Linked DNA regions of Styela clava. The protein of the gene in region 2 purifies or fractionates together with the protein of the main gene of each other region. This does not show direct contact. Links are inferred from orthologs where the notes say so. Each region holds a gene or a part of one and is shown on either strand. Other genes may lie near its edges.

Region 1 (7,391 bases), on a different chromosome or scaffold from region 2:
TTCAAGCTTATATGAATACGTAATCTAACATTTTTTGTCAAAATATTTGTCCTGATCAATTTTATCAGCCGAGTATATTTAATTTCGACAACGTACTATGACAAATGAAACTGCATAGGCGATCAAACCGCCGGGATGCTCTCCACTCTGTATCCTAAGTTGCCGTCAAATATATTTGAATTTACTGCTTATCGTGATGTATTTCTTCCACAGCCTGTCTACAAACTTAATCATTGTTCTCTGTGTGGAATTTAGGACTCGCCCATGTTTTACGCCACCACCCTTCAATAAGCACAAAACTGTCATATCACCCTTCAATGAGCACAAAAACGAGATTATACGCACCGCTGCGCAAAATTAGAAGAAGGTTTGCTACTAGCTTCACAGTGGTCATTTTCATCTAGAAATAATGTGTACAGCTGTTTGTTTACAAACTAACTAGCTACCGGTAACCAACCAAAACCAAAAAGTGTGTGGAGTCCGATCTCGATATATGCGCGTAACTTTGACCTTGGGCTAAATTTTATTTTCTTCCTTGAAAGTTTCATGTGGCTGGTTGTCATGGAGTATAAATTGCGCCTTCGATTTTGTACAAGGAGGTTGCCTATAATTTAATATTTCTCATCAAATAAAATAATCGCTCGATTTAATGTTGCATATGACAATAGATAAGAATTTAATCGATGCAATTGTACAGAAGCACAGCTGAATGATATGGTGAACTATTTTTATAATTAAACAAATAATACCTCTTTGGGTTTCACACCTACAGACCTAGTACAACTTCAAAATCTACAATATAAATATACCACGGTATAAACATCTATAACACCTGTATAAAACAATGTATCACAGTAGTCTATCACAAAAATTACTACAATTAAGACTAGACAAATTATGACTAGTGAAAGCACTGGAAAGGACATTAGACAATTACCCAAATAGTATTGCTAATCCATTTAATACACAAATGTCGAAAACTGGACTATCTAATTCTCTCCAATATCATATTTGACAATTCCCAGTATTGTCCAAGTGTACTTGGGTTGGACACATGGGAATCTCTGTATTTATCCAAATTGTGTTTGAAAATATTCACAGATGCACTTGACGTCACATTTAATAGTAAGCTGTTCCAGTATTTTACGACCCTGTTCCCAAAAAAGTTCAACTTTGAATGCTGATTTTGTCTTACAAGGTTACCAGTTCTAGGAGACTTGTTGAAAAATTGTTGCGCATATGTACAAAAACCATTTAGTATTTTGAAGGCTTCTATTAACTCACCTCTCATTCTTCTTTCTAACAATGTTGTCAGTCCCAAAACCTTCAAGCGGTTCTCATAACTCTGTCCTATACAACAGCTTATTTGTGCTGTAAACTTCCTCTGAACTGCTTCTAGATTCATTATATCGCCCCAGTTCCCATGCAAATTAGCCTACTGTATCAATTGAATTTCCCGACTTTCATTTTACTATCTCTCCCAAATCATGTATGAAGATTCATATCAACCTTGTTGGTAAATTATTGAGGGACTAAGTTTCTCTTTGTGTTTATTGCTTTTATTTCAATTTTTTTATTGACTCATTTTGAATCTTGGTGTCGCAGACTTTCTGACTTATGATGACCATTTCTGGTCTATCGCGACTTCCAGTCAATTGCAATGAAATCCATTACTGTAATGCATAATTTTTTTTCTTATTCTGAATTTGTGTAGTGATTTCTTGCACGACGAAATAAACGTATTGTCTATTACATGCCGTCTCGCTCATCACACGCACAGTTGTTTTTAACTACCTAACTAATTGCACACAATTTAAGTATGAAGTTAGAGGAAATGCTATTATTTTGTTATTGTGTATTACTATACTAGATATGAGATTTGGTTGCATCGAAATGCAGTAATTTTTTAAAATGTGATGCCAAGTGTTAGTTTAATAAACACTGTTAAAAACTGAAAAATGCTTCAAAATGTCAAAATAAAGTAGAGCAACATAGGAAATTACTTAATTTCAAAAGAGAGCTAAGTTTATAGTAAGTATAATAGAAGTATACCTATAGAAGAATATGTATACAAATGTCCATCCATATAAGTGTATGTAATTGGTAGATATATAATAATTTGAAAAACTTGTTTTTACATGCTTCATCTTAATAATAATAATATTGTAATCGTAAAAATGATGCTGATTACCACCTACCGGTACCCCGGTATATGAATTATGGAAAAAATGGATGATGACGAATTCTTCCTTGGATGTAAAACCATGTATATCATATTAATAATGTACTGTTGATAATTATTTTTGGTAATATAATATTTATGTTATTTTTCATTTAAAAAAAAATGAAGACATATTCTGTTCATATTTACATTACTGGAAATATTTCGGAATTTTCTTATAAGCCTATAATTATATATTGTCTAAAACCTATCAGTGTTGTTCAGAGGGCTAGTACTGTCGTTACAGATCTATCCGCTCGTGTGATATTAATTGACAAGAGTATGTCGTACTTCAATTTTTTTTGCTCAAAGCAAGGTCTTGCTACCTCGGAAGTAAATTAGACTGATTTCTAAGCAAAGTTAGGGCTGACACTAAAATGCCTTAGCTACTAATTTAGATTGATACTTGTAGTAACTAATGGCTATGTAACAACTTCATGTATTTCAGAAAAATGGCAGATATTCAAGAGGAAATTAAATCATTACTTGGACGAGATGCATTGAAAACTGATTGGATAAAAATAGCAGAGGTCAATGCAAATCCAAACAAACCACAGAATGTACATCATCAAATTGAAATATCACTGGATAAATTGTACACAGGAATGAGTGTCAGAATTCGCGCAGACAAAAAAACACCATGTACCTCTTGCTCGCGTGGTATTAAGAAGCACAGCTGTGCTGTATGCTCAAGCACCGGAAGGTCCGATCCAGGAATTTTAAACAACTGTACGAATTGCGATGGTAAAGGCTTCAGACTTCTTACATGTGATGTTTGTTTTGGGCAAGGGACTCTTCAGAAAGAAAAATACCATGCTGTTACCATACCTCGCGGGGCAAGAAATGGGCATCAGATTTGGATAAAGGGTGAAGGTGATACAATGCTTAATCAACCAGATGCGGCAAGTGACATTGTTTGCACTATAAAAGAGCAACCACATAGTAACTTTCGAAGATGTGGACATGATTTGTATATACAAAAGAATATTTCTATAACTAATGCGTTATGTGGTTTGAAACTTGTTTTTACACATCTTGATGGTCGAAAAATTGTGTTAAAGACACAACCAGGAACAGTAATAAGGACAGGCGATATGCTTTGTGCGAAAAATGAAGGCATGCCGGTGTTAAACTCCAAAACTGGTGCAAAGGGAGATCTTATAGTTATGTTTAATGTTCTATTTCCTAAAAAGTTTGAAGATTTGTCCGTTTTACAAAATATAGAAAATTATCTCCCTAAGCGAACAAGCCCTGATATCGCAAGTAAAGATTTAGAAGAGTTTGATCTAACCCACTTTGATCCTAAAGAAATAGTTTATGCAGTGCCATACCGACAACAAGAAACGTATGAAGATTCACCAGCAAAGAAAAAAACGGAACAGAAAGAGGAACCTGAAAAATTACCTACTTGTGCACAACAATAGTTCGTTTCTATCAGTCGGGGTGATGGGGTTACGCAAGACCATTTTTTGTCCCTCCTCTCTGCCTTTGCATCAGTGGACCCATTATGTGCGTATAATTATGCAAGATTGCTGTAGCAGGAATAAAGAATTTATTATGTACTTAATATTTCAATTATGCTTCTTCTGTAAAGAGCAATGTCAATCTAAAATTACAAATGTATCAAAAAATCATGTTGGAAAATGCATCGCTGGTAATTATTCACTTGTGTATTTTATAACTTGATTGTGCTGCCTTAAATCGTGTCAAGTTTAGGCTCCGAGTCTTTTTATATTTTGTTCGAAGCTAGATCTTGCACGTAAAAAAAGACAAACTGTCATCAAGAGCTATGTCACAGATGACCACTGAATTATGCTATAAGCTACTAAGATCATATAAAACCGACTAGCAGGAGTGTAAATTTCCTTTTGATGGTGAGGAGTCCAGCAGTATTTCACCAGCGTTTATCACATACCAGATTTAAACGATGGAACCATACACTGCATCTACTGTACATCTGTAAATACTGTATCACTGTTGGCTTCATGAAGTTCTTTTACTGTCTTTAATTTTGTCAGGATAAACAAGAAATCATATTTATACTCCATTAATGATCCTTACAAACTACCATTTCACTGCGATAAACTATTTTTGCAACTTTCTATTATTGCTCCATTTTTTTTTTCAGAAAAGTCGTAGATAGGTTTAGGGACATTTCCATCATTTCAATCTTCAAATATATATTCTGGTACGGTAGTAACAGGTGGGGGGTCATAGGGGAAAACATTTTATATATTTCATTCTATGAAAATCTGGCAACAAGGAACTATGGCCTCCAGCACTAAAGTAATTGAAACAGGAGCAGTGGATACACCAAACACCAGTGTTCTAACTTCACCTGATATGACTTGTGGAAAGTCACCTGGATCAGGAAGATCTTGGTCTAATCGTATGGAGCCTCTTATCTCGTTTGCTGATGTAATGAGTGAACAATTGGCAGACTCCATTGTTCAAGAAGAATATCAAACTATAAAAGATGATTTCAAAGAACCGATAGATGATATTGGTAAGATACTGGATCACTGTTTAAGAAACCAGAAATGAAATTTATCAAATTGCCGTAGTCATGTTAATAGTGTTGGATGCCGTAAATTGGAGTTATTTTAGAATGAAAAATTGATATGTGAATGCACAAGTTCAGGTGAGAAATAAGACAATAGTGAATAAATCCATTTGATACAGATGGTAATTTTTAAAATAGGGTAATGTTGGATTTTTAATAAAAGTTTAATTAAAATATAGAAATTTTTTTATTTCTAAGGATATTTTGAAGCAATAAGTATTCACCAAATTATAACAATAAAAAGTAACAGAGTAGAATAGCTTTTCCAAGTTTTGCCATTTTGGGCTGGAGTGCTCGAATATCAATTTAATTATGGTACGAATATTCCTTGAAATGGTAACAACAACATTTTATTTCCAAGCTGCAAACCTAACAAGTTACTTTGGGACACTTCAAAATTCATTGCACGAACTGCTTAAAAATAATTCTTTTATATTTAGAAACATCAAATCAGCAACCTATTGTTTTGGGAGATGGTTTTCCTGATACATCCAGTGATGAAGCACTTGCTCTCATGTTACAAGCAGAAATGGACAAAGAATATAATGAATACATAGCAAAAGAAGAATCAAGAGTAAATCAGTATTCAAAGGTTTGATGGAATACTATATATCAATGAGCAGGGATGGCCAATTCGAATAAAGTATTCGAATATCTCATCATTCGAATATCGAAATTCACGTTCATAAGAATATCGGATATTTGTGTGACGTCACACATTTTCGCCGCCGCTTTCGAGACGTTTCCGTTGAATGAAAACATCCTCGATAGAAACTTGCGCGTGATTGTTTTCATCACTCATCAGCGAAACGTGTTATTTCCTCTAAAACGAAAATTTCCCACAAATTTGTTCCACGATAACGATAACATTTATTCTATTTTTGTACGCGCACGTAATTGTGAATCTGGTAAGTACGTTCATTGGTGGCGAGTTTCTAAAGACAACGCAACATTTTGATTGAAAAGTGGCACAATATAAGTTTTGTTGAGGCCCGCGAAAATTTAAAAAACGCTTTTCTAGGCAGTGAAAATCGCAAAATTTCGTGTGCCTCTCGCACACATTATGTTTGGTCGGTGTTTAGAAACATATCGTCACTAATTGAGGGCGGGATTTGCCTGATTATCCAATACTTTAAATTGCCGTCGAATATTTTCGTGTTAACACGATACAAGGTTTGAAACGCGACTTTTTCCCGGGTTGTGAGGATGTATATAATATAATTAATCTGAAGTATATTCGATCAATTTTATTGTGATGAAATAAATTTTACCTTGAGATATTACAGCATATTTATGAATTTTTCAAACGGTTTTCATCTAAAAATAATCAGAGTGGCAGCATTCCGATCGAGCGGAGTCACTGTTAACAAGTACAGCTAAATATTTGCCGAATTCGCAAAATACGGATCAAAACAATATTTAATCGAACAGTTTACCTCACGTTTTTATTTTTATGACCGCGGATTGCAATGGTATATAAGAGTGGTGAGGATTTTATTTTGTCGACGCAACCGCAGGTTAAATTGAAGACAATTAAATTAATAAAGCAAGACATTTTAAATATGCCCGTGTCGGTCACGAATTCATCACTTTGCACAACAGAAAAATATATATTCGTTGTCATATCTTTTGTTGTAAAAGTCGACTCTTTTAACAGGTGGCATAATCGCGGCGATGAATATGTATTTTTAATTTACTGCTAAACTTTATATGTATATTCATTGTATGAAATGAATTATACTCTACACTTAACAGGATTTTATATAATTATTTGAGATTTTTCTAACGGCGATAACGAGTTGGCAAGATTGCAAAAATACGTATTAATATTAAATACATCAGGCAGTTTATCTCTTTTAATATTAGGTCACAGATCGCCGTGGACCGAATAGTAATGTTTTTTTTTTTGACGCAAGAAGAAGCAACTGCGAGTTACGTTGGACACATTAAATTAATATATAAAGATATTTTAGAATCTTGTATGTCATGGATTGAATTTTTTACGTAACAGAATGATCATTACACGCTGAAATGACGGCTCTTTTAACGAGCGCGAAATCGCGGTGGGTGTTACAGGCGGCAATGGGAATTTTCGATTTCGAAAATCCTGGCTGCGCGCTGGCAGTGGTGGTCATCTATTCTCTACTAATTTATTTCTAATTCCAAACACAACAATATTGTTCCCATAAATTAATATACAAATATACTGGTAGGTTGTAGAATACTCTAGGCTTAAATATTAGAATTTTTAAAGGCATAATGGATTTTCGATTGTTGTTGGCTGTATTGCCAATAAATTTTATTACTCTCAGAAAATATACACACTTATCTGAATACAAGTAGTATGTTTGTCAATAGACTTAGAGCTCCTTGGATATATTTTCATATGGTCATTTGTACAAAGTGAATAATTTTAATAAACTGACTGTGTCACAAGTTGTCATTATTTTTTATTGATAGCTATAAACTATCAATTACTTTGTGTACATATACTGTTGGTTTGTGGCTTCATTCTGATATTTCTATTGAAGCTTATTTCCTAATTTACTGGGTTTTAATCAACTAAAACAAAAATGTGTTATTTTCGATTTTAGAATGTATTCGGAA
Region 2 (7,507 bases):
ATAAATTGAATTGTGTTTATATTATGCAGTAGTAAGTAGTCCACAGTCTTGTTGTCATGCCCACCACAATATTTCCTGTTTCTTATTTGGTCCACAAACACAAACATCAGTGAAAAAGGAAAATTGACAAGATTTCATTGCATTGCATGATTCTAAAACAGAACATTAGATGTAGTTCAAAGTATTCACCCACTCAGTTTATCTAGTTAGCACAAAATGTTTGACAAGTATTAGAGCTGTAACAATTTCAAAATTTGTTTCTGAGATGTAAGAATGGATAAAAGTATATAAATCGGCTGATACTTTCCAATTTATTAAGCTTGTACACTTTTATCAATTTATCACAACAATTTTATTTTTCATTCAATTCCATACATCAAGGGCATTTTCTCTCTACACTAGATTTTCCAGCTTCTTCGTATTCTTGTTTTGAAATCCACATTTGCTGAAATGTTCCTAAAGAAGCTAAAATAGATCCACCGATCCAAGGTGAAAACTTACGTTCAATAGAATTTGTAGGAGCAATAATTTTTAATTTGGCACTTGGTGGTGTTTTGTTTGACAACTCAGCTGTGAGCCTGTCAGTAAAACCTTGAACTAAAGTATTACCACCAGTTACAATTACACTACTGTAAAGTCCAAGTCGAATATCGACATCACATAATCCTACTGAAGATGATACAACGTGAGGAACGCCAAGCATAGAATTTCCTTGGATAAGTGATGGATCAAAAAGAGCTTCTGCAGCTTTCATACGCTCATGGCCAAAGTCTTGATGATATCCATTTGGGAAGCCATAGTGACATTGAGGCATTCCCATAGCATCTTGCTCAATGTAAGGTGTGTCTAGGAGTTGTAAAACTGATGCAGCAAAGTCCTCAAGAGTGTAATTCATCATGTACTTCTTCCATGATTCTGTAACTTCTGGAAGATCTTTTTTCTTTTCCCAATCTGGTTGACCTCCTTCTTTGGCTTCTTTTTTTGAAGCGATCATGTATGCAGGGATTACATCAATGTTTAAATTTTTCATTACTTCTCTACATTGCATAAGGATGAAATCGCCACCGAGCGGAGATTTTACGATTCCTTGTTTGAGAACATATCCATCGTGTACTGGTACAGCAGTTGTGTGGGTAGAACCGCTATCCAAAACAACCCCAGTTGATCGCCCATTAGCAAATGCTGACAAAACAGGGGATTTGCAAAGAAAAAAGGCAGGTACATTATATTTCTCAAACATTACTTCCGTTAGTTTTTCTCGCTTGTTTCTTGCATTCCAAGCTGGTTCGGAAAATAACACAGGATGTAAGTTAGATTCGCTATGCAAGCCACGTTTGTAAGTATAGTCCAACATAGATTCAAATAAATCCCAATCTTCTATCATTCCATCGAGAACGGGTGTGACAATTTCAGTATCTTTCCTTGGAGTCAACAAAGCACTTGTACCAAAATGCAACTTCTTTGTTGGCTTGGATTCTTCTCCTTCAACTTCCATTTCTTCTATTGCTTGGGATCCAACATGAGTAGGAAACACTGATTTGGGACAATCTTCTCCTGCATACCCAGCACGGACAGAATGTGATCCAATATCAATGACCAATGCACCGACTTCATCTCCACCATATATACCCCCACTCATGGTTTCTATTTATTGAACTATTAACTTACTTAAAAATTAAAATATTCAATGAAACAAATGATAATATGATTATGAGTTTAAAAAGAGATAAGAGAAGAGATTTCTATAGGGAGAAAATACAACAATGTATTCAGCTATATCGGATTTTGAAAATTTCCTTTACCTTCCATAAACTGAAATTCATGAATCCATGACTGAAGGTATCTTGACCTAATGCCACAAATGAAAATATTTGAATTGGTAAAAAAAATGAATGCTAAACCACTAAAGTTACGGATATGCGAAATATATGTGAATACTCCAAAACACAATTGTTAAAAATAAACTCTTTTCTTCTGTTTAATTGCAAAACTTGTTATCACTAAACATCCAAAATGAAGCTTTCAAGAGAGTACGCAGGGTGAAAAAGGCAATTTGGTATGGACAGAAAACGCTGGTTCTATAAATAAAATCGATTTGAAGCTGTTTAATTAGTAATCATGGGAACATGATACGAGTAACTCAGAGCTGAAACACGTAGTGTGTGTGGGGTTCTTATGATAGCAATACCTTCTTTCAACGGGTTGTGTAATCTCTTATGATGGCAATACTTTGCATTATCCGTCTAATACAATAAAAAATAATTGCACTCTTGCATTTTGATGGCTGTTGTACAGTAACAATATGGTCAACGAATAATAATGTCATAAACTAGCTCCGAATTCGTGACCTCCTTAAATGTAAATTTGAATTTCTTGGGCAACAGTTTTATCTATATGAATGGTTGTTTATCATTTTGGTGAAAATTACACAAAAACCCTTAATAGTTAAGACTAATGATACAGTGATAATAGGATTAAAATAGCACCTACAGGCTTTGCATGCCCTAATAAAACTAAATCCATTAGAATTGAGTAAAGGTATTGAAAGTCTGTGCAATTTCCAACACTCAACATAAACAGTTTTCAAAATCCAAACTTGGGAGACCTCTGAATTTTTTGACCAGTTCATGTAGGTATGAGATCTTCTTTTATAACTCTGGAAACATAGTTTTGCAAAATATCAGCAGTATTTTAGATGTAACTGCACGACATGTTATCACAATATCGAAGGGGGAGTTTTTACTGTACAATATGGACATATTTGGGATTGCACAATAATATTCGATTAATTCGAGATTCAATTCAATAAAAATATTTGATTCGACTCAGCAAAATATTCGATTTTGGGGAGCCCTAATAAAGGGTCTGGTATAGTTTAGTACCACATGTACTTCTAGTTGACCTGGCTTAACAATTTTTGCATATGTCAATCCTAACCCCACCTGACTACGTCACCGAAAAATTACGTCATTTCGACGTCACAGTGGCGTAATAAGGCCCACCGAAGTATGCGGATGCTTGTCCAAAACGCAGACAATCACCCGAAATCGAGCAAGCAATTTCTCTCGTTTTCTCGTCACAACGATCACTATAGGAGAGAGATCGCCGACTTCAGCAAGTTCGTTATCGGCAGCGCAGATGTCATTTCGAGCGATCGTAATTCTACTTTGGCAATCTCTATGACGTGATGGTGACGTCGTAGTGACGTAATTTTTGGATGGCATAGTCAGGTGGTGGTTAGGAATAAAATATGCAAAATTCGTTATGCTACGCCCACCGGAAGTACTTGTGGTACTAAACTATACTAGACCCCTAATAAATACACATTTTCAAAACTCTCATTGCATCATTGAATTCTGGAATTCGGGTTCTTCATAATATAATTACAGTTATAATACACAAGCTGACAAGTGTCTGAGTTTCTTTTTAATCCCTTTTTACTGCGAAAATTTTTAAAGATAGATTGTTGCTAATTCCGTGATTATTAAAAAATTAAATTTTTTCACATAACCAGCTAAAATTTCTATAAATATTTTCAAGCAATCAAATACAGAAATACATTTAGACTACTAAAAGGATTTACAGAAAGATTATAGAAAATAATAAAACTTGAAATTCATGGCATTGAAATTTCTTTTTCAGATATAACTTACCGTTCAGCCGTTATTGTCTCATTGTGCCATCTCATATTGATGTGCTGTCATTGGACGTTAAATCTCAAACATTATATCAATTCTCATGAACTCCGGACTTTTAGAAGCTTCCTTAAAAACTCTGGTGTTCAATATTGTATTCACCAACTATCCATTTTGATTTAAAGCTCGGCATTTGGCAATGATTAAGTCGTCCAGTCATCTTATCGGCTTCCCTTTCCCCCGGGATAAACATGAACACGTTAGATATCATCACGCTTTGGATATCATATCCCAAAGCCGAACAACATGTAACATCGCATAAAATAGGCATAAGCAGCTCCCGCCACTAAATTGTCACATGCCAGATTCAAAAATGATTAATTAGCGATAAAAAATGCTTCACAAACATTACCGATAAAACACAATAGAATATTTATTGTAATACAGTTTTTGTAACTTTTTAAATTAATTTGCAATTGTAATATTCAACTAATATAAAGTAATTTTTATTTATATTGCCATTTGTTATGCGTACGATGAGAAGTTGGCAACTGAAAGATGAGATAGGCTATATTTGCGCCACGAAATGAAATTTAAATATCCGGCTCTTATGAGAGCTGCTGATTAAAAAAAGTATGTCATTCACATAATGATGAATTACTTGTTTTTCATTAAATTTAAAACTTGTTGCAAGTTTTTTGAAAATAAGCAAGATATATAGAGACATGTTTTTGAACATTTTCGATAATAGAGGAAACTCGTGAAACGACGAATCAATGCTTATATTGGAAGTGCCATGTCGGACAAATGTTCGCGTGTTCTGAGGTAAAATGAATAAAACACAGGAAAAAGAAATAGATGATGAATTTCATTTGGCGAATAAGCAAAAACAATTGCAAATACCCAAATATGTTTTTGTAAAGGGGAAAAGGTAAATAAAAAATGGGTTTCTGGGTAGGTATCAATAATACCCTCTTCATTGACGCTATTTTTATCTTCATAGATGGTATTTCGTGAGACTGCTTTCACTCTTCTTGTGGATAAATATAAAATCCTCTCTAATATACGCAACTCTCAGCACATGTGGCCATGCTATCCGACAGAAGATAGTAGTTGCCAGATATATGCATTATGAGTTTCCGACATACAAAGTTTTGTCGCCAAATTTTATCCGTTTAAAATAAAATCTTTTGTTGAATATTATTTTATTTATCATATTACTATAAATTCTAATATATTCAAACAATTACATGTAGTATATGAAATCATCTCTACACAACTATAGTAGTTTTCTTGGTACAATCTGACAACTGCCAAGCCATTTCAGCCTTTTTACTTCACGGTCTCGTCTAGGTAGGTCGTGTTTTATTTGCAATATTGTTTTTATTGGTTTCTTTTTGAAATTAGCCATTTGTATTTATATGTAATTAGCACTTTTGTTGAAAAGAATTATTGAAGGTTCAGTAAGTTTTTGTTATGATGCTGAAAAATGTTCCGTTTGGGCAGACTTTGACCCATATTGCAAGATAAATTTCAGGTGCCACAGATTTTAACATTGAGAAATCTAAGGCTTAAGTTATTCAGTATATCTGGTTGATCTCCAGTCTGCTAGTGGGCAAAATACTTACTTTTTGAACTCTGGATAATGAATGTTTCGTGTTATTAGAAAAGGATTTACATATTTATCCCGGGGGAGAGAAAAGTCGATAAGACAGCTTAACCATATGGTGAACCACGGCCTCTCGTCCGGTTATCATTCCATGTTGAATATGGGATTAGTTAGTTCTTTAGAAGCATGGACTTGATGGTTGAGAAAGCCGTAATCAACCAGCGGTTACGTGAACCATTCTACGGCGGTGAGGAGTCTAGCAATTTTCTCGAACATAACTATCCTTGTATGGGATTCGGACATGCGAACCTACGCAGAGGTGCAGTGGCGAGCGTATTCCTAACGCTTAGCAGGATAATCCCCCCGCCACGCTCTGATATATGGTCAAATTAAATGATTTTGAGCTTTAAATAATTTAAAGTATTTTGTTTATGTGTGAAATTTTGGTATTGTGGAAAACTGTTATGTATATATAAAAACAGTTAAGCCCAACCACAGAACCAAGTCTGATTAAACATAAATATCTTTCATTGAGGCAGTTATTGCTTTGGCTCACAGGCTAGTTGTAATTTGACATAGTACTTGTTTAAGTTTATATTATGAAAGCGAAATATACACAACACACAGTGAATCACAGTAACTCACTTTAATTCTTTATTTTTCAGGTGCATACACTAAGCAGTCATGGAGCAGATGACATTACGTGGTACCCTTAAGGGTCACAATGGATGGGTGACTCAAATCGCAACTACTCCGGCTTATCCAGACATGGTTTTATCATCATCTCGGGATAGAAGTATTATATTATGGAAATTAACAAGAGAGGAGGGAAGATATGGTGTACCACAGAGAAGAATGACTGGTCATTCCCACTTTGTTTCTGATATCGTTATCTCATCAGATGGCCAATTCGCTCTTTCTGGATCTTGGGACGGCGAGTTAAGATTGTGGGATCTCACTTTGGGAGTTAGCACTCGTCGCTTTTGTGGACATACTAAAGATGTCCTATCTGTTGCATTTTCCACTGATAACAGGCAAATTGTATCTGCCTCTCGGGATCGCACAATTAAGTTGTGGAATACACTTGGTGTGTGCAAATACACCATAATGGATGATGGACATTCTGATTGGGTCTCCTGCGTCAGATTCTCACCAAATTCAGGCAACCCCGTTATCGTGTCATGTGGATGGGATAAGATGGTTAAAGTTTGGAATTTAACTAATTGCAAACTGAAGACCAACCATTATGGCCACACTGCATTCTGCAATGGCGTTACCGTTTCACCTGATGGATCTCTCTGTGCTTCTGGTGGAAAAGATGGACAAGCTATGCTCTGGGATCTCAACGAAGGAAAACATCTTTATACTCTAAATGGCGATGGTGAAATTCATGCAATGGCTTTCTCACCAAACCGATATTGGCTTGCTGCAGCATGTGGACCTTGCGTCAAAATCTGGGATTTGGAAGGAAAGGTTATCGTTGACGAGCTGAAACCAGAGCTTATCAACATGCCAAACAGCAAAGCTGATCCACCAGAATGTCTTTCACTCGCTTGGTCCTCCGATGGTCAAACCCTTTTTGCTGGTTATGCCGATAACTTGATAAGAGTTTGGCAAGTATCTGTACCAGCACATATTAGTTAGAAGGATCATGATTCTGCATGAATTATTGGAATACTCATTCGACAAAATGAATGGGAATAATGTATAAGAATGTGTTCCATACAAAAATTAAATATTCCAACCAATACTTAGCAGTGTATTCATTCAACTGTGCCATCGGGTAACAGGGGAGTTGAGCAATGAGACGAAGTAGTTGCAAGAGGAGATTTGAGTACAGTGTTTAGCGTAGCATGTAATGCTTGTAACCCAGTTGTGATACTGCTAGTATTTGGCTCATATACATCAGATTTTTATACCACATGCGTCCAGAGATTCTCATACGCGTAAGCCCTTGGCAGTCAACGGAACTCAATATTCTGTAGAAGATACCGTTCGGTGTGCTATATATTTCGTATTAGGAAGGATTCCGCTACTGAAAACCTCTACTAGCTAAAATAGCCAGCATATTAACTAAGCAGAACTTATCGGACTTGTTTTATTCAACCAGGGTCTGTGATGATACACTTTAAACTAGGTACTTTTAACCTGCAATGCGTGTACAGTAAGTTAGTCATAGGTACGAAATTACATATCAAAGGTACACTATTTAAATTTTTGCTTCTGCTAGGTCACACAGCATGCATCTTTCCACTTCTGTGCC
Region 3 (8,022 bases), on a different chromosome or scaffold from region 2:
GCTCAAGCTTATAAGTCTCAATCAGATAGTAGTTCAAAGTAAGAAAACTATTTTTTTGTACTTCAACACTGATTCTTTTATTGTAATAAAGGTCTGGAAATATGGAACGTTTGCAAAGTGCTCAACGATATGCTACTAAAAAAGAATCGTGAGTCGCGTAGCTCCCAGTTTTGGAAGACTGAAATTTAAACCATTAGATCAATTTTGATCCAATGTACAAAAATGTAGCTTGTAGTCATTTTAGACATAGCTTTAAATATATTAGAGTATTATATGTCATTTGATGACTATTATTTGACTTTTGAATGTGTAGTGATATTTGACTTATGATTTCAGTTTCTATGCAAATCAGAAGAAAACTTTAGAAATTAATCCAAGACATCCTTTGATCAAGAATCTTCTGGAAAGGGTTGAGGTAATGATTTATTCAGTGTATTGTTACTGAATTTATTACATTTTATCGAATTTTGGTTATTGTTCGTGAATCTTGACAGTAAAACTCTCATGAAAAGGGGTGTCTACTAAAATCTTGGTCACTGATAAAGCATGTGTTGCTCTTTGATGTGTGACTGGATTTCTGCAGCTTTCCGGTCGGTTCTGCTCCCGGTTTTGGTTTCAGACTTGAGACTTCTGCATTGAGCAAATGTGTATTAAAAACCAGTGCTAGGAGGCTGGATTAATTGACTTGGACTATCTGAATTTATGGACTTGTAACCGCTACTGTGAAAACCTGGGCAATATGTCAATTTTCAGTAAATCTTCAATAGCTCATGGTAATCTATGTCAATTTTTGAACGTATGTGCAGTTATTTTTACCCTTACTTTGTCTATACATATAAAAGACAAAAAAAGGCTGCCTATGTAATATTTTAGTACGCTTAGTATTGGGGCTTTCGTAAAGTCTCAAATTTTCGAATTGCAAAAAAAATTATCTACACCACACATGGTTTGTTGGCTCCTGCAAGTGTATTGAATGAAACTTGGAAATAAACACTGATCGAAAGATATTTAGATAACTTGACTTCAACGAGACTTTATGAACATCTGTTATATTTGTAGATTATTTTTTAAATTGAATGATTGAGTTGTAACCTCATACATATTTTTGTTTAGGCTGATAATGCTGATGATCAGGCAAAATCAATTGCGCAAGTTATGTTTGATGCAGCAGTATTAAGATCTGGATATACATTGAAAGATTCTGCTGATTTCTCCAAACGTATTCTCTCAATGCTCTACAAGAATCTCAACATTGATCCAGACACTCCGGTAAGTTCGTGAAGCCATTTGTGATAATATTATATAGCCAGAAAGTAAAAAGTAGCCTTTTAGGGTTGCATATAGATTACACATTAATTAAACATAAAATTGTCATTTTCCATCTCTGTTTGGAAGTTTCAGTCTCTACACACAAAAATTGTGAAAGTCCAAGGTTAACATAGCTTGATAGTATTTTTATTTCCCAAATTTTATAGTTTATAACTATAACAAACTTTGGAGCGATGATCCGCAGCAGGAAGCACATTCTGCCTCTCTGTTCGCTTTGACAAATGATGATAACTCTTTTTAATGCTTGTCCTATTTTTCCAAAACGTGACATAAATCTTGTAATGCATGCACACATGCAAAGTTCCAACGCCTGTTGCTTGTGCCAGGGCTGGGGATCTGGAACCATGAGATTTTGTTTTAGCTAGAGCCAAGCTTACCCTAATAGATAAAGTCGGAGACATAGCTGCCAGAAATTTTAGTGTTTCTAGCTCCCAACTATCTGATGATTATGTTTCACATTTATAAATTTCTAATACCTCATAAAAATAATAAAATCTAACCTTTTCAGTTTTATATTTACTTTTCCGATTTCATTTTAAACCATAATTTAAAAAGTTTGAAGTTAAATTTGTATTATACCATTGAGTTTCAAACCAGCTCCACACCTCGGCGGCTTGTGCAACTAGCTATTCCCAATTTTCAAATCCATCAAATATATATGGATGTGATTTTAGATTCAAACGTTCAATGGGCTATGCAAAAGTTTGCAATAAAAAGTAGTTTTGTCTTCGAGTACTTTTCTGGATTCCTTGTTAGGCGGGATTTTCAAATATTATTTCTCTAATTCAGATTGAGGAGGAGCCTGAAGATGAGGAAAAAGAAGAGGAAGATGAGGAGGAAGTAGATGCTGATGAGGAGGATGAAGAAGAAGATGATGGTGAGGATGAAGTGGAAGAGGGAGATGGTGAAGAAGAAAAGAAAACCGAAGAAGAATCTCATGACGAATTGTAAAGCTGAAAAAACCTCACTAGTCACTGTACGTACGGACAACTACGTGAAAGCCTGTTGTTGCCAGCACATAAAAAAAATCATGATTTGAAAAATATGAACAATTTGTGAACAATTTTCATATTTTTCAAAACTATCTAATGACCAAACTTCGTTATACATCCATTTTTCGTTTATAAAGAAGCCTTATTTGTTGTCTGACGTCCATACAAAATTCATTGCAGTTTAAAGTTTGTTCAGACTTTATTAAGTTTTCAAATTTCATATAGAAGCTGGTAGTAATTGTTCTATTACTGTAACCAATATGCGCGCTAAGCTAGAAACTGAAGTACTAGTATATTATTTGATATCTTCATAGTAGAAAAGAGTGATTTATGACTTCCTTTTGTTTTAACATACCTAGGATTGAAGCACTTTTGCCCTTCGCATACCTTCAAGTGCTAACTTTCTGTTATTTATATACCGGCGATCGTAGAGTTGAAATTATTGTGTTTGTTTATTTCAGTTAAGTTTCAGAGGTCACGATTCAGAGATTTGAAATTGGAATACATTCTAAGCAACATTATCAACGAACAAAACTTGCTTTATTTGTGATTCAATTTCAAATCTTTGCGTGATCTGTTAACATCGTGATATATAACTTTGTGCAGTTTTCAAGAATTACTTCGTTCATGGGGTGGCCTCTGGTCTAATAATGTTTTGAAAGTTATTGCATTTGCCTGTTCTGTTTGTTGGGAATGGTTTGTTAGTGCTAATTTCAGTCTATTGAAGAAATATTCTTTGGTCAGCCGTTATTCTATAGAAGTATCGGTGTGGTGCAAACCGTGCTTTCCTTGCACCCCCACCATAAAATTTCATAACTGTATTCCAATATCCAAAATGTGGCGCATATACCGGCTCAGATAGTCTGTCAGATATATAACACTTTTGTGGGATACAAATAGCTTTATTGCTAATACCAAATAAATATTTACCATCCCCTAAAATTGGAAATGACTCCCATGAAGGGAAAAACTGGGGAGCATACTGGATGCGAAGATGCCAAAGTGTAATTGCGAGTCTATTTGCAAGTTCACATGTACGCTAAGGCTGGATAACACATACCAGGTGTTGGGAGAATTGTCAATTAATATCTGAAGATATCTATAACGCCAGAAGCATTTGAACAGTCAAATGGACCCCGTGAAAGTTGTAAGTAAACATTGGGTTTGCCACTTCGGTATAGATTGTGTCAATTCATTGCAATTTAATTTTATACCCTGGCCACATAAGACGCGACTTTCCGTTAGTTACCGGTCTATATTGGGCCCGAGAATAGTTTATCCATTATGTCTTCCACGGATCGGCGCGTGGCACGAGTCTAGTCTGAAACGCAATTGCATATGTCCAGTGGTGGGATTCAGCCGGTTCGTACCAGTTCTATAGAACCGTCTCAAGGAATTTTATGAGATCAGCGAACCGGTTAGCATCACTGGGTACTGTTAATGTTCTGTTTGCAACAGAACCGGCTAATAAAAAAGACTTTTGTGAAGGAACCGGCTGACAAAAAATTTGAATCCACGGCATATATCGTTTCAAAAATTACGTATATATTGTGGATTTTGTATATTATCCGGGCATCGAATAAATTAATACTAAAGCACCCATGAGTCGTTCGACGACGAGCGATATCTAAATATGAGGAAGAATATAAACTAAAACATCCGTTCACTACAAACATCATTAAAATACCAATCAATTCCTAAAATATAGCTCAATTCCTAAAATATAGTTATCGCGTGCAAAATAAGTGAGTTTGTTTCAACAGTGTCATCAGATCAAATAGCATAACATGATATACGAATGTAAAAAATGAAATAGAAACTTAGTCTGGAGCAAATTTACAAGCAAATTGTTCATTATCACATCATCATCTAGGACTGAGCGAAATAGACATTAAATCATATTTCAAAAAACTGCATATTGCTATTCATATAAAACAGGGGGGTTGGATAGGATAGGATTTACATATTTATCCGAGATGAGAGGAAAACCTATAGACGGCTTGATCATAGTATTTATTTACGGGCGAACCACGGCCTCTCGTCTGCTCACATACAAATTATACGCCAAAGTTCATCGGTAAATCACGACAAAATATCCCGAAAAACGAACAATAGAAACAAAGCAGAAAACTAATTAAAAAAAAAATAAACTGTGTATCTCTCATACCCATTGTATTAATTTCTAAAACGCTTAAACTACCAGTAAGCGGTAGTTATCGAAAAGTATTTATCTTATTGAGTCTTTCAAGTAAAACGGTACGATTTTTGGGTAATTATCGGACGAACATATTAGATGGTCCTTCAGTTTGCCCTCAGCAAAGAAAGGTACTCATCCGTAACAAAATGCGGCGTCACATCCGCTCCACGTAGCAGAACTCCGATGAATGAAAAACATTAGTTTGTGACTCGACGTCGGTTGCTGACGTTGCTAGTGGTCTAGTTGGCAGGGTTGATAAAGTGTTCTGATTTTTCGAAGATGATATTTTAGTTAGTTAGTGTTGGGTTGCGTTTAATTTAGTCATCGATAATATGATATTGAGAAAGATAAATGAAATTTCAGTGTTTTGATTGTCCATTTGCCAGATCTGCAGATTGTTGGAGGACAGCCATTTTACAGTTTTAGTTTTTCAAATGTCCAGACTTGAAGAATTAATATGGATTTATTAATATGTGATTTGATACAATGTACTGTGTTTTCAGGTTTATTCCTAATCAATCAAACTGTATCTCAGAGTAAGATTAAAAACCGGACCGACCTTTGGATAGCGCTACTTGTTCCTTTTTTTATATTGTAAGTGAAAGTCAAAATTGAATTTTACGTAATTTAGCTGTTACCCTATACAGTTATACACAATTTTTTCTTTTATGCTGTCCCCTCCCCTCATAGCTTTGAATTCTTGTTTGGAAGTTTTGTTCGAGTAAAATAAATCACATAACATTTTGAATTGTTGAATTTTTCAAAAAATGTCCGCTTCTCAATTGGCAATCTGCCTCGCATATTAACATCTGTTTTGTATAAAACAAATAGAGATTTTCTAATGTAATATTCAACTTTTTCACACTAGGGTTCAGGAGTGCACGACCGTGAACGGACAAAGACTATGAATTCTGAAGTTGCTCAACAAAATGGTTCTGGTAAGAAGACCTGAATTTAATGAAGTATACTTTTCTTCACTTCTAGAATTATGCTTTCAGATATCTTCAGGTTGAATTCTGAATCAGAACTTAATCGAATAAAATCAAATGTTCTAATCAGTTGTAATCGGTAGATTCAATAATAAACTATTATTTTCATTTCAGATAACCATGAAGAAGTACCCCTTTATGCTGAAGCGTTTCCCGCTTTGGCCCCCGTTAATCGGTCAGGCAGTCCAACTGCAATTGCGAATGAATGGGTCAACCCTAAAGTTCAAAGATTGAAATCGAGTGTTGTTACCCAGGTTATTTGGAAATCTTGTTTCCATTATACAAATTCGTTATTTAATATTTATCAAATATGATTTATTTTGCCATTTTTCTCTTGAACAATTTGCTTACTTAAAAAGCCATTCATCACTCGCTTATATTCTGTTAAAAGAAATAATTTTATAAATTTGCTGTTTCAAATTTAACTATATTATGTCTGATTGTCTGTTTAAATTGATTGTACAAATATACATGGCTATTAGACAAACAAACAAAATTGCTGTATGCAGGAACTTCATTAATAGGTTGATTTTATTGGATAAATTGAGTGTAACAGAGTTCCAGTCGAGTAGCCATTTCACTTTGAGAGCTTCATTTAATCATACTTTAGGTTTGATTTGCGATAATATATTTGAGAGGTGATAAAAAATCATTTAGTAAAAATGATCACTTAAAACTTTGATGCGCTCATAATATACATTCAGTTGTAACATGTGTAGTTTTTATTATTGCTTATTGATGAAATAGAAACTTAATGTAAATATAATAATTCTAACTTTCTGCAGTTGTTCCAAATCCCAATGGAGGAAAGAGCATTCAAACACACCGAAAATTTTGGCCAATCCCAACAAGATCAAAACAAGGCTTGTCTCGATATTATGCAAAAAACAGGAGCTCATATCGAAATGTCGACTTGCAAAGATGGATCTCTTTCATTGCTCGTATCTGGACAATTGGATGCTGTTTTGAGAGCCAGACGTGACATTTTCAACAGACTTCAGACTCAGGTGAATAAGTTCACTCGTTGATATTTTTCTCTCGTATTAGCTAACTAATGTAAAATAAATTTAAAAATCCTCTATTTATTTGACGATTGTTAAACAGCGAAAGCACAAGAATAAAAAAAAAAAGTCGGAGCAGGTTTTTCATGTAGTGCTCATTCACACCTTCTCTGCTATGAACAAGGCACTGTACGAGTCGAGCTGTCACTAATATGTAAAACCAGCCATATCATTACAGTCAATTCTAATACATTAACTGCTGGCCCATCACACTCACAAAGGTGTGATTGAATACTACCAGCTTATTTAAGCTTGCTTGTTATATATTGAAGTACTTTCAATGTAACATAATTTAATTCAATCTTTTCAGGCTAGAGTTACCTTAGATATTCCGAAAGAACACCATAGAGTCATTTTAGGAAAGGGTGGGAGCAAATTGCAAAAACTTGAACTTGATACCGCTACAAAAATCAACGTCCCAAGACAAGAAGACACTAGCAGGACCATCACGATCATTGGTACTCAAGACGGAATTAGTAGAGCAAGACATGAAATCCAACTCATATCAGAGGAACAGGTAACGTGTTATTGAGTGTTCAATAGAATTGATTTTTTTAATAATTTTTTTATTTTTACTACTTTATTTATATTATCGAAATTTTGTTACTTTGCATAAAAATTTTGACTTAAAGTTGATTTTTGGATATTTCGTTTGAAAAATTTGTTCTGTGCTACAATGCGTATCAGCTATTTAGTAACATTGTGATTTGGTAAAGTGTTCAAAAATAATTAGAAACCGTTTGCAAACTTGAAACTCATAGTTGTTTTCATACTTTTAATGTTTTGTGCTTAACTTTTTCAGTCAAAACTTGCTATTGAGAAGCTGAATGTTGAAAAAGAATTTCACCCTTTTATCAGTGGACCAAGAAATCAACTTTCTCAGAAAATAGAACAGGTTTGTTGAAACATAAATTTCAATTTGCGAAGAAGATTATCAAAGCTTTAAAGATAGATATTGCCACTAAATTTACCCGTACTTACAACACAAAACAATTAAACCAGAAAATATGTATTGACAGCTATAACCCCAAAAAATTTTTTTTTAGGAAAACGGAGTTCGTGTTCACATTCCACCTCCTAGTGTTCGAAAGAATGAGATTGTGGTCACCGGTGATAAAGATGGAGTCACGAAAGCTGTGAAAATTATCAAAGAAATCCATCAAAGAAAGGTGAATTTTTCTTCTTCCTAATTTTATAAAATGATGCGAAAATGCAGGATTTTTACTAATTTTTTTTTTTAATAAAAATTTGTTTTATCTTCAATTTTCAAAACCCAACACCATAAAATCATTATTTAGCCATATGTTACATGAATACAAATTAAATACGATATTAAAATTTTTATGTAACTTTGGGCACCAATATACCATCTGCTTGAGGCAGGAAGCATGAGCAATAGGTTTTCATTACATACAGTGTGTAAATTTCTCATACCAGCTTATTTAGCTCTTTGA

Evidence for each region. Proteins that work in one complex are often made in the same cells at the same time.
Region 1: the proteins of small ribosomal subunit protein RACK1-like (region 2) and serine/threonine-protein kinase RIO3-like purify together in Homo sapiens (affinity purification with mass spectrometry; 3 studies listed by BioGRID and IntAct, counting the BioPlex papers as one, with this or other methods). This does not show direct contact. The link is inferred for Styela clava from reciprocal best matches to the Homo sapiens genes RACK1 and RIOK3.
Region 3: the proteins of small ribosomal subunit protein RACK1-like (region 2) and vigilin-like purify together in Homo sapiens (affinity purification with mass spectrometry; 3 studies listed by BioGRID and IntAct, with this or other methods). This does not show direct contact. The link is inferred for Styela clava from reciprocal best matches to the Homo sapiens genes RACK1 and HDLBP.

The regions. Positions count from the first base shown.
Region 1 is NC_135258.1:13,577,208-13,584,598, reverse strand, and holds the start of serine/threonine-protein kinase RIO3-like, read left to right. Parts: upstream 1-4,330; 5' UTR 4,331-4,465; coding exon 4,466-4,727; intron 4,728-5,224; coding exon 5,225-5,376; intron 5,377-7,391. Other genes in the region: uncharacterized protein LOC120338848, read left to right, coding at 2,220-2,284, 2,670-3,645.
Region 2 is NC_135260.1:11,114,499-11,122,005, forward strand, and holds small ribosomal subunit protein RACK1-like, read left to right. Parts: upstream 1-4,861; 5' UTR 4,862-4,988; intron 4,989-5,909; 5' UTR 5,910-5,928; coding exon 5,929-6,888; 3' UTR 6,889-6,994; downstream 6,995-7,507. Other genes in the region: actin-like protein 6B, read right to left, coding at 377-1,639. UniProt on the Homo sapiens protein: Scaffolding protein involved in the recruitment, assembly and/or regulation of a variety of signaling molecules. Interacts with a wide variety of proteins and plays a role in many cellular processes.
Region 3 is NC_135256.1:9,777,232-9,785,253, forward strand, and holds the start of vigilin-like, read left to right. Parts: upstream 1-4,961; 5' UTR 4,962-5,112; intron 5,113-5,386; 5' UTR 5,387-5,422; coding exon 5,423-5,456; intron 5,457-5,621; coding exon 5,622-5,761; intron 5,762-6,292; coding exon 6,293-6,514; intron 6,515-6,878; coding exon 6,879-7,085; intron 7,086-7,370; coding exon 7,371-7,463; intron 7,464-7,614; coding exon 7,615-7,737; intron 7,738-8,022. Other genes in the region: endoplasmin-like, read left to right, coding at 1-38, 337-415, 1,114-1,269, 2,119-2,280. UniProt on the Homo sapiens protein: Appears to play a role in cell sterol metabolism. It may function to protect cells from over-accumulation of cholesterol.